Oryctolagus cuniculus: one gene and its partners. The protein of the gene in region 1 purifies or fractionates together with the protein of each later gene. This does not show direct contact. Links are inferred from orthologs where the notes say so. Each region holds a gene or a part of one and is shown on either strand. Other genes may lie near its edges.

Region 1 (3,232 bases):
AGTGGAGACTGCTGTCGCTCATGCCAGGGCTGCCCAGCCAAAACCCGTGGGACCAGATGTGCCTGGTGTTACGCCACACCCCAGGACAGTCTGGGGGATCAACAGGTATCTGCACTCTCATGGAAGCAGTAAACAGCTTCTCTCCAGGTCGGGTTCTGATGAGGTCAGTGAGATCAGTTTGGTGCCTAGGGAGCTGCCCAAAAGTTCTGGTATTCAGAGGTTGCTGGGGTTGGGCCCTGAGGACAGGCAGGTGCAGGGACACCACGTCCCCTACCCTGTCTGCGGAGAGGACTGCTAGGAAAGGCTGCCTTGTGCACTCTGAGCAGCTGTGGGTTCCTGGGGTGGGGGTGCTTCCAGCTCCCTCCCACCCCCTGAGCTCTCAGCAGTCAGAGGATTTGAGCCAAGGATGTATGCAGCTGGTGTCCCTACCCTGGAGCACCCACCTGCAGACGATGCCTGGAGAGGCGAGAGCCACGGGTGACTGTCTCAGAACGAGCGGTCGGCCTGACATGTGAGTGAGGTCATTTCACAGTTAATTAAAGCAAAGGGCTGCATCAACGCAATGGAAAGAATGCACAGATTTTATCACTTTGAGAAATGGCATGGCAGAGAGTCAGGAAGCCTCGTAAAAGGGTTTGGACAAGCAGGTGACTGACAGGGCTATGGTTGAGAGCCAGGAGCCAGGCAGCTCCAAAAGTAACAGCACAGCCAGGGAAAGTGGCGACTGATCCAAAAAGCCCAGCGTCCCCTCCCCAGGGAGCAGATGCGCTCTGGGGCCAGCACCCTGTGTTCTGACCACGCTGACGAGGCTCCAGCCAGCAGCCCTGCCACCTCCCGCAGACGGGAGCCAGCTCCATGCATATGTTGTGTTGTCCTGCTGGTCAGAACCCTGAGCGGTGGGGGAAGAATTCCTGGTTTCCCTATGGTCTTGGAAGCCGATTCTTGCTTCTGTAAATTAACCAAGTCAAACATTGGGGAAGACTCCAGAGTGTAGGCTCAAGGCCAGGGAGCAGCCGGAGCAGGCGAGGTTTTGGTGGAGAGATGGCAGAAGCCCTAACAGCGAAAAGGCAAAGGAAAGCTAGAGAGGGCTGCCCGCATCAGTCAGGACAGGGGTCAAGGCATTCAACGCGGTCTCCCACCATGGCTTCCGCCGCCGCTGCTGCTGCTGCTGCTACTGCCGCCTCCACCACCATGCAGCCTGCCAGCCGGCTCCCCAGAGGGTCAAAGAGGTGTCACATGATAGATGGCCTGGCTGAGGTCTTCAGAAACACCCTGCCTCCCTGTCAAAGTCACCAACCCTGAGTGCAGTGTGGAGTCAGCAGGCCAGATGGTGCCCAGCCATGCTGGCAGGAGGGCCGAGCCAGAACACGGGGAAATGAAGTGATGACGTTCCTGAGCAGAGCCCAGAGCTGCTGTCAGCGAGGGGCAGTGTGCCCTCCTCGGGGGTGGCGGTGGAGGGTTGTCTGCTTTATGCATATGTTTGTATCAGCTTCCTTGAAATGTCACTTACTTACAATGAAAGTCAGCAGTGTTAGGAATCCAATCCAGGGCGTCTTGACAAACATAAACATTCACAGCACCAGGTACAGGGCCCAGAACAGGGGTCAACAGACCATCACCCAGGGGCTGGGGCTGTCTCCCAGCCTGTCTTTGTGTTGTATATGTTTAAAAGTTGGAGGCGGGGGGATCGAAAGAGAGAGAGAGAGAGAGAGAGAGATTGTATGCAGCCCACAAAACCACACATATTAAATATTTACTCTCTGACCCTTTGCAGAGAGAGTTTGCTGGCCCCGAATAGAGCATCTCCATCACCCCTCCCGCCCCTTCTCGAGCCTTCCTGCCCTCCTCCCTGGCACCCACTGATGCACTTTCTTTCCACCACACAGTTTTGCCCCTTCTAGAATGTGAGAGAAACGCAGTCATCAGTACGTTGCCTTTTGTGTCCCCGTGGTTTCTCATGTTCGGTTCTGCATTCCTTCCCAGTGGCGTGGTGTCCCGCAGAGGGCAGGGTCCAGAGGCTGGGTGAGGTGGTGCCCGCTCTCACTGCCCCTGTCTTCGCAGGCATGAACAACCGGGAGGTGCTGGAGCAGGTGGAGCGCGGCTACAGGATGCCCTGCCCGCAGGACTGCCCCATCTCTCTGCACGAGCTCATGATCCACTGCTGGAAAAAGGACCCCGAGGAGCGCCCCACTTTTGAGTACTTGCAGAGCTTCCTGGAAGACTACTTTACGGCCACAGAGCCCCAGTATCAACCTGGTGAAAACCTCTAAGACCCAGGTCTGCAGAGAGAGGCCTTGTCCCAGAGGCTTCCCCCTCCCTCCCCCTTAGCTTTCAATTCTGTAGCCAGCTGCCCCGAGCAGGCGCAGCGAGAACCGTCCAGGATCAGATTGCATGTGACTCCGAGGCTGACGAACTTCCATGGCCCTCATTAATGACACTTGTCCCCAAATCCGAACCTCCTCTGTGAAGCATATGAGACAGAACCTTGTTAATTCTCAGACTTTGGAAAATGCATTGTATCGATGTCATGTAAAAGGCCAAACCTCTGTTCAGTGTAAATAGTTACTCCAGTGCCAACAATCCTAGTGCTTTCCTTTTTTTAAAATGCAAATCCTATGTGATTTTAACTCTGTCTTCACCTGATTCAACTAAAAAAAAAAAGTATTATTTTCCAAAAGTGGCCTCTTTGTCTAAAACAATAAAATTTTTTTTCATGTTTTAACAAAAACCAATCGGGACAGGTGTTTGGGTTTTTTTGTTCTTTTTTATAAATACGAATACATATAATGTATGTCCCTGTACATATATCATGTGGGTGCTAATGTAAGACCATGGCCAGCCCGGGACCCACAGCTGCAGGACCCACAGTGAGGATCTGACTACACAATCAGCATCGAAAAGAACTGATATTCTAAAAGCCAGTGGTCTCATTTTTTTGGATTTTGCAAAGCATGTTCTTTTTGTTTTTTCTTCACTTGGATTGTGCTTTTTTCCTTCACGACTATCCCTGTACATGGACGTTATCTTGACTCTTTTTAAGAATTCGCAAGTTCTGTTACTGGTATTTGCTTCAACTCACTGCGATTTTTTTTCCCTTGAAACTGAAAAGTGAGCTTATTTAAACAAACAGCCAATACTACTAAGGGAACTGGAAGACGGATACCACACAGACTTCTTGTATAAAAATGTGAATGCTGAAATGTTTCGAATGTTTTTTTTTTTATTTAATAAA
Region 2 (3,500 bases), on another chromosome or scaffold:
TGTGTAAACCTCCATAAAACTCGAAACAGCTTTATTGAGCTGTACCCTGTGGTACTTTCAGAATCCCACATTGAAGAAATTATTCATTCCATTTTATTTTAAAACAAACAAAATAATAACATATGGTTGAAGCCACAAATGCGTCTTTGATCCTTTCCTCATATGAGGTGGCACCGGAATTCAGATGAAAATCATTGCAGAATCTTTATTAAAAGCCTAATCAAGCCAAACAGTTTGCGTGGGTTTGGAAACGAACGTCCGCTCTCTCTGTATCCTGTCCTCCCCTGGAGGACACTGGCTGTACACACCCATCCACAGAGCGCTCTGTACCGTGTGGCAGGGAAGGAACCCTCCCAGACCCCCAGCAAAACAAAACAGCGGCCCCCTGCCCTGCCCCGCCCCGCCGCTCCCCTTGGCTGCAGCAGCTCCACATCCTCCACGCAGAGACAAACTTGAAGGGCAGCCTGACCGTGGCTGCAAAAGGACCTAGTAACTGCACCGCTCAGCCGTCCCCTGGGGTCTTGTCTCACTGTCTGTTTTACTTTTCCATTCCCCATTTTTTTTCTCTCTCTTCCACTTTGACCCATTTATTCCCCTCTCCCTTTCTCCAAACTTATCTGCAATCCTGCAGTAAGATCGGAGGGGAGACCAGCTTCCCGCAGCTCAGTTCCCCTGGGAAGCCCCCTTGGTGCCCCCTGCTGCCGGCGTCCGGAGGACGAGGCCCACCCCCCACCCGTCCAGTTTTCTGCTTGAGGAGCAGCGTGTGGCATGCTGGCATTTTCCTCCTCTGCCCTGTTTTCTTCCCTTCGCCTCCTGTCCTTATGCACACACCCATGCTTTCCAGAGCCGCTTCGTCCTGATCAAGTTTTATTGCAGGGAAGGATTTATGTTGATGGTTTAAACCTGATGCAGTGCGAGCCTGGCCTTTTCTGTAGATTTCCTGCCACCAAGGCCCACATTAGAAATAACAGCACTTAACCTAGCGTTTCATTTCCCTGTGACAAGTTTTATTCTCATCCCTCCTTCCGCTCCTCCTCCTCCCCCCTCTTTCCTTCTCTGTCCTATTCTTTTCTTTTTCTCGCTGGTTGTTACATTCTCATCTTTGCCCTTGCAGATCTGAGCTCCTTAACCATTCCGTGCGAAGAGGAGGAGGAGGAGGAGGAGGTGGAGGAGGAGGAGGAGAAGGGGGAAGAGGAAGAAGAAGCAGAAGAGGAAGAGATGTATGATGACATTGATGGTTTTGACTCCCCAAATCCTGGTCCCCAGTGCAGACCCACTGTCTTGCCGGGGGGCATGGGGATCCATGAACCTGCAGAGGAGAAAGAAGACGACATTTACGAGGTCTTACCAGGTGAGAAACTTCGTCTTCTAATTGTCTTGCACTAGTTTCAGAAACTCTTGACCTGGTGGAAGACTAGAACTTTGAAAACGCCAAAGGAAGCCAAATCTCACCTTCATCCTCTGCAGAAGAAAATGCAGAGGAATGTTTCACTCCCGGGATAGAGGCTGTGCCTGCCTCTGGGAGCCAGGCGAAGTTGATCAGGGTGTGTCTTTGATCTGTGCCATATGGAATAACTTATTGCATGCATCAACAGGTTAAAGAGCCGTGAATACTCAGGTTGGTTTCCATTGGTTTATTTCATTGGTTCTAAAACTCTAGTTTCAACTTTTTTCCTGTGTAATTGTGAGAATACTACAAAGTTGCCTCCCAATTCAGGATGTCAAAGTCTACAGTATACAGTGGTGGCTCACCTTTCTAGTGCCAGAAAACCCGACAATTCATCACCACTTAGTTCAGACATACCACAAATCAAAACCACATCTCTTTAAAAAAAAAAAAAAAAAAGATTTATTTATTTATTTATTTATTTGAAAGTCAAAGTTACACAGAGAGAGAAGGAAAGGCAGAAAGAGAGAGAGGTCTTCCATCCACTGGTTCACTCCCCAATTGGCCACAATGGGTGGAGCTGCACCAATCTGAAGCCAGGAGCCAGGAGCTTCTTACTGGTCTCCCACATGGGTGCCAGGGGCCAAGGACTTGGGCCATCTTCTACTGCTTTCCCAGGCCAGAGCAGAGAGCTGGATCAGAATTGGAGCAGCCGGGACTCGAACCAGCACCCATATGGGATGCCAGCACTGCAGGCGGTAGCTTTACCTGCTACGCCATGGCACCGGCCCCAAAAAGCCACATCTCTTAAAAATGAGCCTAGCATCCTTCCTCTGCCCGCCACAGTGGTCTGCTCTCTGCATTTCCTTGTTTCCAAAGGCATGATCGCCGTCACCTCAAAAAAACGCACAGTCATCCAGGCTCCTCGTCACCCCCGCCAGTGGGATACCAGCAGCTGTGATGGGTGCAGAGCGCAGTGGGTGTCAGACTGGGAAAACTGATGCTTGCACCTTTTCATGGTGAGGGAGTTAGACCACAGGAGCGCTGGACTTTGTGGTCCGTGCAGAAAGATCGCTCCCGTGGAAATTTGCCAGGACTTCTGTGCTCTGCGACAAAATGCAAATTAAGCCTAAATTTATGGCAATTTAAGCCTCAGTCCCAGATGCTCCCAGAAACTAAGGTGAACCCAGTACTCGGGCCCCTGAAGACGGCTGCTTGCTAAAAGCATCCTCAGCAAGTAACTTGCACTGAGGCTCTCTCAGTGCTGGGTTCTGCATTGCCCCTTCCTGGGGGAAAGCCACGTCATTGGTTCCTGAGCCAAGGAGCAGGGCTGTGGCCACACACATCCCTTCCCTGCTGGGGACTTCACCCACCGGGACGACCAGGGGCGGGTGCATCTTCTTCTAGCGCTTCCTGCTTCTGCCAGTCCCGACTTCCCCAGCCTTTTTGTTGTGTTTTATTATGCAAATGATATCTTGGTTGAGGTCGAACCATTTCTTGTGTCTGAAGTTAAAAAAAAAAAATGATAATTTCCTCAGCAAGTCATCGTCGTTAATGAAGTTTTACAAAAACAGATACAACCAAAGGAAAATAAAATTTCACAGGTGATAAATTTTTCCAATTTCCCTGGCAGAATTCGATAGGATTGTTAAATTAAGAGTGAAGGTGTCTGTTAGAAAGCAACGAGCAGTGATGGGTAATTTTATAGAGTGGAAAATTGAATCAAATTGCTACATTAAAACACAGCTCCTCTGAGAATCTTCCCTTTCACAGTCTGCTCCATTGCAACAGCAGGGTGCAGAAATGGATCCAATTCACAACACTCCCTAAAAGGAGATGCACGCCCCAACCTGGCCAGCGTCTTCCTAGCCAGCTTGCGTTCTGCTCACTCCTGCCCAGGCCTGGGGAAATATCCAGGTGACATTCCACGTCGGGTTACAGCTGTGGAGGACCGGCCACTCAGCCCTCTGGGGCGCCAAGAAGGGGCCTTTCATGGACCATGTTTGGTTCTCAGAGGAGTCACGGAGGAGAGGGCTGATGCTCAGAGACACAGCACAGCGGAAGGAGAGGGCAAGAGGCCACAGAAAAGATGAGTTTGGGACCATTGCCGTGT
Region 3 (3,500 bases), on another chromosome or scaffold:
TTCAAGTCCCAGCTGCTCCACTTCCAGTTATCTCCCTGTTGATGGCCTGGGAAAGCAGTGGAAGGGAGCCCAAGTGGTTGGGCCCATTTACTCACGTGGGAGACCTAGAAGAAACTCCTGGCTCCTGGCTTTGGATCAGCCTAGCTCCAGCCATTGTGGTCATTTGAGGAGTGAACCATTGGATGGAAGATTCTCTCTGTCTCTCCCTCTCTTTCTAACTCTGCCTATCAAATAAATAAATTCTTAAAATCTTGTGACCATCAATCAGTTTATTCCACAAGAAATCGCTGTGTGTCAGGCTCAGTGTTTGGAAGCATAAAACACTAATCCTCTGTGCTCTAGGGGGATTTATAGTTAATGAAGGATGGTTTGCCTTAAATTCTAGTTGCTTTGTTCAGTTTTTTTTTATTTTTTTAATTTTTTTATTTTTTGACAGGCAGAGTGGATAGTGAGAGACAGAGACAGAGAGAAAGGTCTTCCTTTGCTGTTGGTTCATCCTCCAATGGCCGCTGCGGCCAGTGCGCTGGGGCCGGCGCACCGTGCTGATCCGATGGCAGGAGCCAGGTACTTCTCCTGGTCTCCCATGGGGTGCAGGACCCAAGGACTTGGGCCATCCTCCACTGCACTCCCGGGCCACAGCAGAGAGCTGGCCTGAAAGAGGGGCAACCGGGACAGAATCCGGGGCCCCAACCGGGACTAGAAACCAGTGTGCCGGCGCTGCAAGGCGGAGGATTAGCCTAGTGAGCCGCCGTGCCGGCTTTTTTTTTTTTGCTTTGTTCAGTCTTTACCTTAGTTATCTACTTACCTCATGTAACACATAGTCAAATATTTGACAGTGCAGTGACTACCTCATTTCCTCTCACTGAATATTTTATACTTGCAAAATATTTTCTCCATAATAATCACCCTTCACTCCATTCCTCAAAAGCAGTTGTTACTTTGCGGATGTTAAAACCAGGAGCTTAGCACTAGTAAGTATTCAGTATATGAGAGAGGGGTGGAGTTAGTCTGTGACCCTTAAAAATGGAAATTTTATGATCTCTAGTTCTCATTAAAGTGCTGAAAATAATGGAGAAATCTAGTGCCGAGGAGGTTATACTCTGAGAGTTCTAATATAAGAAAATGTTCTCACTGTTCCCCTGTTTAAGCTTCTCTACTATCTTCCTTGCCCTCAGGATCATTTTAATGTATGAGATCTTGCTTGTATCATTATCTCTATAATCCAGCCACACTAAAACATTTGCATCTCCCCAGATATATCATGTAATTTCTTATTTATACAGGTGACTTTCTGCCCTTCTTTACCTAACTACTGTTTGGTATTTGGACCACCTATATAGAATTGCTACCAATATATGCACCACCACCCCACCAAGCTGACATTTCTGTCTGCTGTGTGCTTTCCCATGGCCTTTGTGAAAACTCCCAGTTTGCAAGTTCGAGACTCCTTCTGGATAGCTTACTAGGTCCAAGTAGTGGCTAATTTATCATTTTCACCCCACTGTGTAGCATAATTGCTGGCATTTTCTATGCTCAAATATTTGTCGAGAAAATTAACATCCACAGGAGAAAAATGTGGTTTTCTTGTCACTTCGCTTCTGTGTTTTTCAGAGTTCGTTATCTGGCCAAAGAAAATGTGACCCAGGACCCTGAGGACCACACGGTTTCCTTTGTGCAGCCCAATGGAGCTATCTTTGAACCTTCCCTGTCTGTTGGAACCGAGAATGACACATTCACAGTTCTCAATTTGGCTGTCGCAGTGAGTAGGCAAACAGAACCATTGTTATTTGAGAAATAAACCACCATAATTAAGCTCATCACTAGAATTATCAATAGATTTTATGTGCCATTTTAAGAAATGTGTATTTTTACTTGAAAGGCAAAAACAAAAAAGGAAAGAGAGAGAGAGACCAAGCCCATCCACTTGGTCAGTCCCCAAATGACTTCAACTGGGGTTGGGCCAAGTGAAACCAAGAACCCCAAATTCAATTTGGGTCTCCCGCATGGGTCCTAGGGACACAACCATTCAAGCCACCATTGTTGACTCCAGGGACGCGCAAAGCCAATACTCAAACATAGGCACTTTCATATGTCATCATCACTACACCAAGCACCCACTTCTACTTGCCACTTTTAAAAAAATGTGTTCTTGGGATATTTTCAAGAGTTAGGGTCACTTAGAAAAATGGCAAAATCATAATCAGCTGGGTTAGAATATGGTTTAAAGTATACTGCTAAAAATCCTAGTGCTAAACTTGAGATGTCTACTTCCATGCCTGGCATTGAGGCAGAAAAAATGTAATATTATAGAGATTAGACAAAAACTTTCAGTCTTAGGAGCATTTGGCAATACTATTAAGGGTATCTTTTTTTTTTAAAGTTTGTATTAAGCTCAACTATAGTACTTAATCCTTTTATGTTAAGATCTGATACTGTATTGATATATCTTAATAGTGAATTTCTTTTTTGTAGGCTGCACCTCATATCTATCAAAATACATTTGTTCAAGTGTTACTCAATTCACTCATCAAAAAGTCAAAATCTTCTATGTTCCAAACCAGAACTTTAAAAGAATTACTATGGGGCTATAAAGATCCATTCTTGAGTTTGGTTCCATACCCTATTACCACCACAGTGGGTGTGTTTTATCCTGTAAGTACCAAATATGAATAAAAATATTGTTATCTTTCAGCTGGATGAAAGCAATGTCTTAGTCAAGGCATCCTTTGTAATTTAGTGTGTTAGTCTATTGTTGATCTGGAAATACATACCATATATATATATATATATATATATATATATATTTTAAGTCTTCATCACACATACATTCAGCTTTCCTAGTGGGAAAATTTTAAAAAATTTATGCTAATGTCATCAAGTTTCCACTCTTTTATAAATGTACAAGTGGTCCAAACATACCTTGTAAGTCTGCAAATCATTGAAAACTATTTTTATTTTGTTTTTCCTTCTTACAAAATCAAGTTCAATACTATATTTCTATTTGCCCAATGTATTCTGTCATTTCTCCTTCTCCAGACCTCTTACAAAATTTTAAACATTTAAGTAAAATGTTAGCCTAAATTTATGCAGTCAGAAGGCCTTTTTTTGATGGGACTGTGATTCAGACCTTCCAGTAGTACCGAATGCTGTGAAAATGGCATTTTGAAGATTATGTAAAATAGTTTCATTAGGTTTTATATATGTACATATTAGTTATATTCTCAAATTCTTTGTTTTACTTTAGATAGTGGTTAGGATTGTAACGTTCCATATCAGTCAATTATGAATATAGAAAGCCATAAGGAATCAGATTCAGTTATTATAACTCAACTACTCGTAACTCTTTACCATGGCTAATTCGTTTTTAATTTTAGTACTTCTTACTTAAGGTCATAACATTTAAAGTAATTCTAGAAATGTGTCACTGCTCTCATAGGTTTTATTCAATCTTCTCAATATAATAGGAGTGGTGACTGGCTGAATTATGACAGTTCTAGAGT
Region 4 (2,539 bases), on another chromosome or scaffold:
GCCGGGCCCCCCAGGCAGGCTCCACACGCGCCCCGCCCCCCGCCCCCCGGCGGCCGCCCCCAGCCCCGCGGCCCGCGCACGCGCACCTTGCTGAAGCCGTCCTTGCTGAGCGTGTCCACGTTCCAGGGCAGGCTCTTCTCCTTCTTGCGCATCTCCTCCAGCTTCTGCTCCCAGCTGCGCTCCTCCTTGCGCAGCTGCTGCGCCTCGGCCTGCAGCCGCTCCAGCTCGGCCTGGCCGGCCTGGCCGCCCTCGGCCACCTCCAGCTGCTTCAGCTTGCGCTGGCACTCGGCCACCTTGCGCTTGCACTCGCGGCAGCCACGGTCCAGCTCCTCCTTCTCCTTCTGGAACTGCTCCATGCGCTCCACCCGGGCCTGCGGGCACACAGCAGCGGCTCGTCCCGGCCCCCCAGCGCCCCGCGAAGGGTCCGCGCGGCCTCTGCGCGCGCCCTGGTCTCCCAGCTTCCAGGCTCACCTACTGAGGGCACGGCCCCGCCTGGCCCACCCCCTCCCCTCCAGCCCTCTCCGCTCCCCACCGGGGCTCCCCACCGGGGCTCGGCGGTACCGCTCCACCCAGAGCTGCTAATGCGCCTCCTTCGGTCACCGGCCCCGGCCAATCCAGGCTCAGAGGTTGCCGTACTCTGCCCACGGCCCCCTCTGCCGCGCCATCTTGGAAAGTCTGGGTTCAGGTGGACCCCTGAGCCCCTCGCTGGGCCCCACCTCTCCGTGGTTCCCCTAGGCGCCCCCAGGTCGCTCCGCATGCGGCCCCTGGCGCCTCGGGGCCCAGCAGGCTACCATGGGCATTCGGGGAGCGAACCAGCGGATGTGCAAGCAAGCTCTCTCTGCCTTTCCAATGACCCCATTTTAAAAAAATGCACTTGACACACCTGGCCAGCCAAACAGCATGGCTTAGCCTTGCCTATCTTCAAAACAAAACAAAAACTATTTATTTGAGAGAGAGAGATCTGTGTGTTTGCTGGGTCACTCCCCAGATGCTTGCAGCAGCCAGGGCGGGCCAGGCCTAAGCGGGGAGCCCAGGGCTCCGTCCAGGTCTCCCACGTGGCTGGCAGGCACCTGAGTACTGGGGCCACCAGCTGCTGCCTCCTGGGCCCAGGCCCTCCGCCATGGGCTGCAGGTCACTACTGCGGCCCACGCCTGCCCACCCCGCCCACCTCAAACAGGCCCAGGACACTGCCACTCCTGGGCATCCCTCCTGGAGTGCACGGGGACCAGCTCGCTCTCTGGGGCTTACAGAAGTGACCCCCCCCCCGAGTGTGCAACTGGGTTTCCACCGGAGACTGGGGGTGCCTGCTGCCGCATCACCACAGCACCCAGCTCCACCCCTGCCACGTGGCGGGGCGACTTTGGCCGGGCCCCTCGACCCCAGGCCTTGGTCTTCCCCTCTGAGAAACGGGACACTGCGGGGCCACTGAGAGCCCGGAGGGCGGGGCACTCGGCCAACAAGGCCCCGTCCCATTGTTACCACGGCTGTCTCTGTCCACCAGAATGAGTGGCTGACTCACTGCTGGCCTGTGTCCCCCACCCCCACTTCCAGCAGAGGGCGGGCACTTGTCAGGGAGGACCCAGAGGCCTGCACCCTATTCTGATGCCCAACCAGATGGCTCGGCGAACCTCCAGGGGTCAGGGGTCAAGACGGCCCACACCACAGGTGTCTCGAGAAAGCTGCTGGCCTCTGCCCCTCTTCCCCCGCCCCGGGCCCGGGTGCCGTCCTGCCACCTCCCAGGGACTCCGGCTGGCTCTGGGTGGCAACAGGAGCCTGTCTCCTCCCGGCTTCTGTGTGCCCTCTGAGTGGCCGCCAGGGAGGCGGAGGCTAAAAATGGCTTTCAGGAGGCGGTGAGGGTGGGGGCGGCGGCCGGCCCGGCCTGGGCTTTGCGCCTCTCAGCCGGGAGGGGCTGTGACGGGCCCCCTGCTCGGAAGCCAGGGCGGCCAGAGGGGTGCGCTCGTGTCCCTGCCCCTGTGCCCTGCAGATGGGGCCACCGAGGCTCGTGGGCGCTCGGTGGCGTGCAAGCCCTGGAAGGCGCCACTGACGGCAGCTCTCTCTGGGCAAGGGGGTCAGGGAGCGGGGCACTCGTCCCCTCCCGAAATCCATGCCGTCTTTTCTGACCACAGCAAGAACTACCTATGTGACGATGCAGACAGTCACTCCTGCCCAGAGCATTATGGACTGTATAAATTACAATCTAAACAAATACACAGACACGAGAGACTCAATACGGTGGGGGCTGGCGTTGTGGGGCGGCAGGTAAAGCTACTGCCTGCAGTGCCGGCATCCCATAGTGGAGCGCGGGTTCGAGTCCCGGCTGCTCCACTTCCCATCCAGCTCCCCGCGGATGTGCCTGGGAAAGCAGCGGAACACGGCCCAAATTCTTAGAGACCAGGAAGAAACTCCTGGCTCTGGCCTGGCCCAGCCCCGGCTGTTGCGGCCATTTGGAGAGTGAATCAGCGAATGGAAGATCTTTCTCCTCTTTCTCTCTCTCACTGTAACTCTTTCAAATAAAAACTCCCAGTCGTTCCGCTCCTGA

Evidence for each region. The genes of interacting proteins can lie anywhere in the genome.
Region 2: the proteins of FYN (region 1) and SKAP1 purify together in Homo sapiens (affinity purification with western blotting; 3 studies listed by BioGRID and IntAct, with this or other methods). This does not show direct contact. The link is inferred for Oryctolagus cuniculus from reciprocal best matches to the Homo sapiens genes FYN and SKAP1.
Region 3: the proteins of FYN (region 1) and CD36 purify together in Homo sapiens (affinity purification with western blotting; 3 studies listed by BioGRID). This does not show direct contact. The link is inferred for Oryctolagus cuniculus from reciprocal best matches to the Homo sapiens genes FYN and CD36.
Region 4: the proteins of FYN (region 1) and CDC37 purify together in Homo sapiens (affinity purification with mass spectrometry; 5 studies listed by BioGRID and IntAct, counting the BioPlex papers as one, with this or other methods). This does not show direct contact. The link is inferred for Oryctolagus cuniculus from reciprocal best matches to the Homo sapiens genes FYN and CDC37.

What each region holds. Positions count from the first base shown.
Region 1 is NC_091436.1:59,932,280-59,935,511, forward strand, and holds the end of FYN (tyrosine-protein kinase Fyn), read left to right. Parts: intron 1-2,061; coding exon 2,062-2,270; 3' UTR 2,271-2,732; downstream 2,733-3,232. UniProt on the Homo sapiens protein: Non-receptor tyrosine-protein kinase that plays a role in many biological processes including regulation of cell growth and survival, cell adhesion, integrin-mediated signaling, cytoskeletal remodeling, cell motility, immune response and axon guidance.
Region 2 is NC_091448.1:24,458,741-24,462,240, reverse strand, and holds part of SKAP1 (src kinase-associated phosphoprotein 1), read left to right. Parts: intron 1-1,114; coding exon 1,115-1,351; intron 1,352-3,500. UniProt on the Homo sapiens protein: Positively regulates T-cell receptor signaling by enhancing the MAP kinase pathway. Required for optimal conjugation between T-cells and antigen-presenting cells by promoting the clustering of integrin ITGAL on the surface of T-cells.
Region 3 is NC_091434.1:145,409,045-145,412,544, forward strand, and holds part of CD36 (platelet glycoprotein 4), read left to right. Parts: intron 1-1,611; coding exon 1,612-1,759; intron 1,760-2,472; coding exon 2,473-2,652; intron 2,653-3,500.
Region 4 is NC_091447.1:67,018,373-67,020,911, reverse strand, and holds part of CDC37 (hsp90 co-chaperone Cdc37), read right to left. Parts: intron 372-2,539; coding exon 87-371; intron 1-86. UniProt on the Homo sapiens protein: Co-chaperone that binds to numerous kinases and promotes their interaction with the Hsp90 complex, resulting in stabilization and promotion of their activity. Inhibits HSP90AA1 ATPase activity.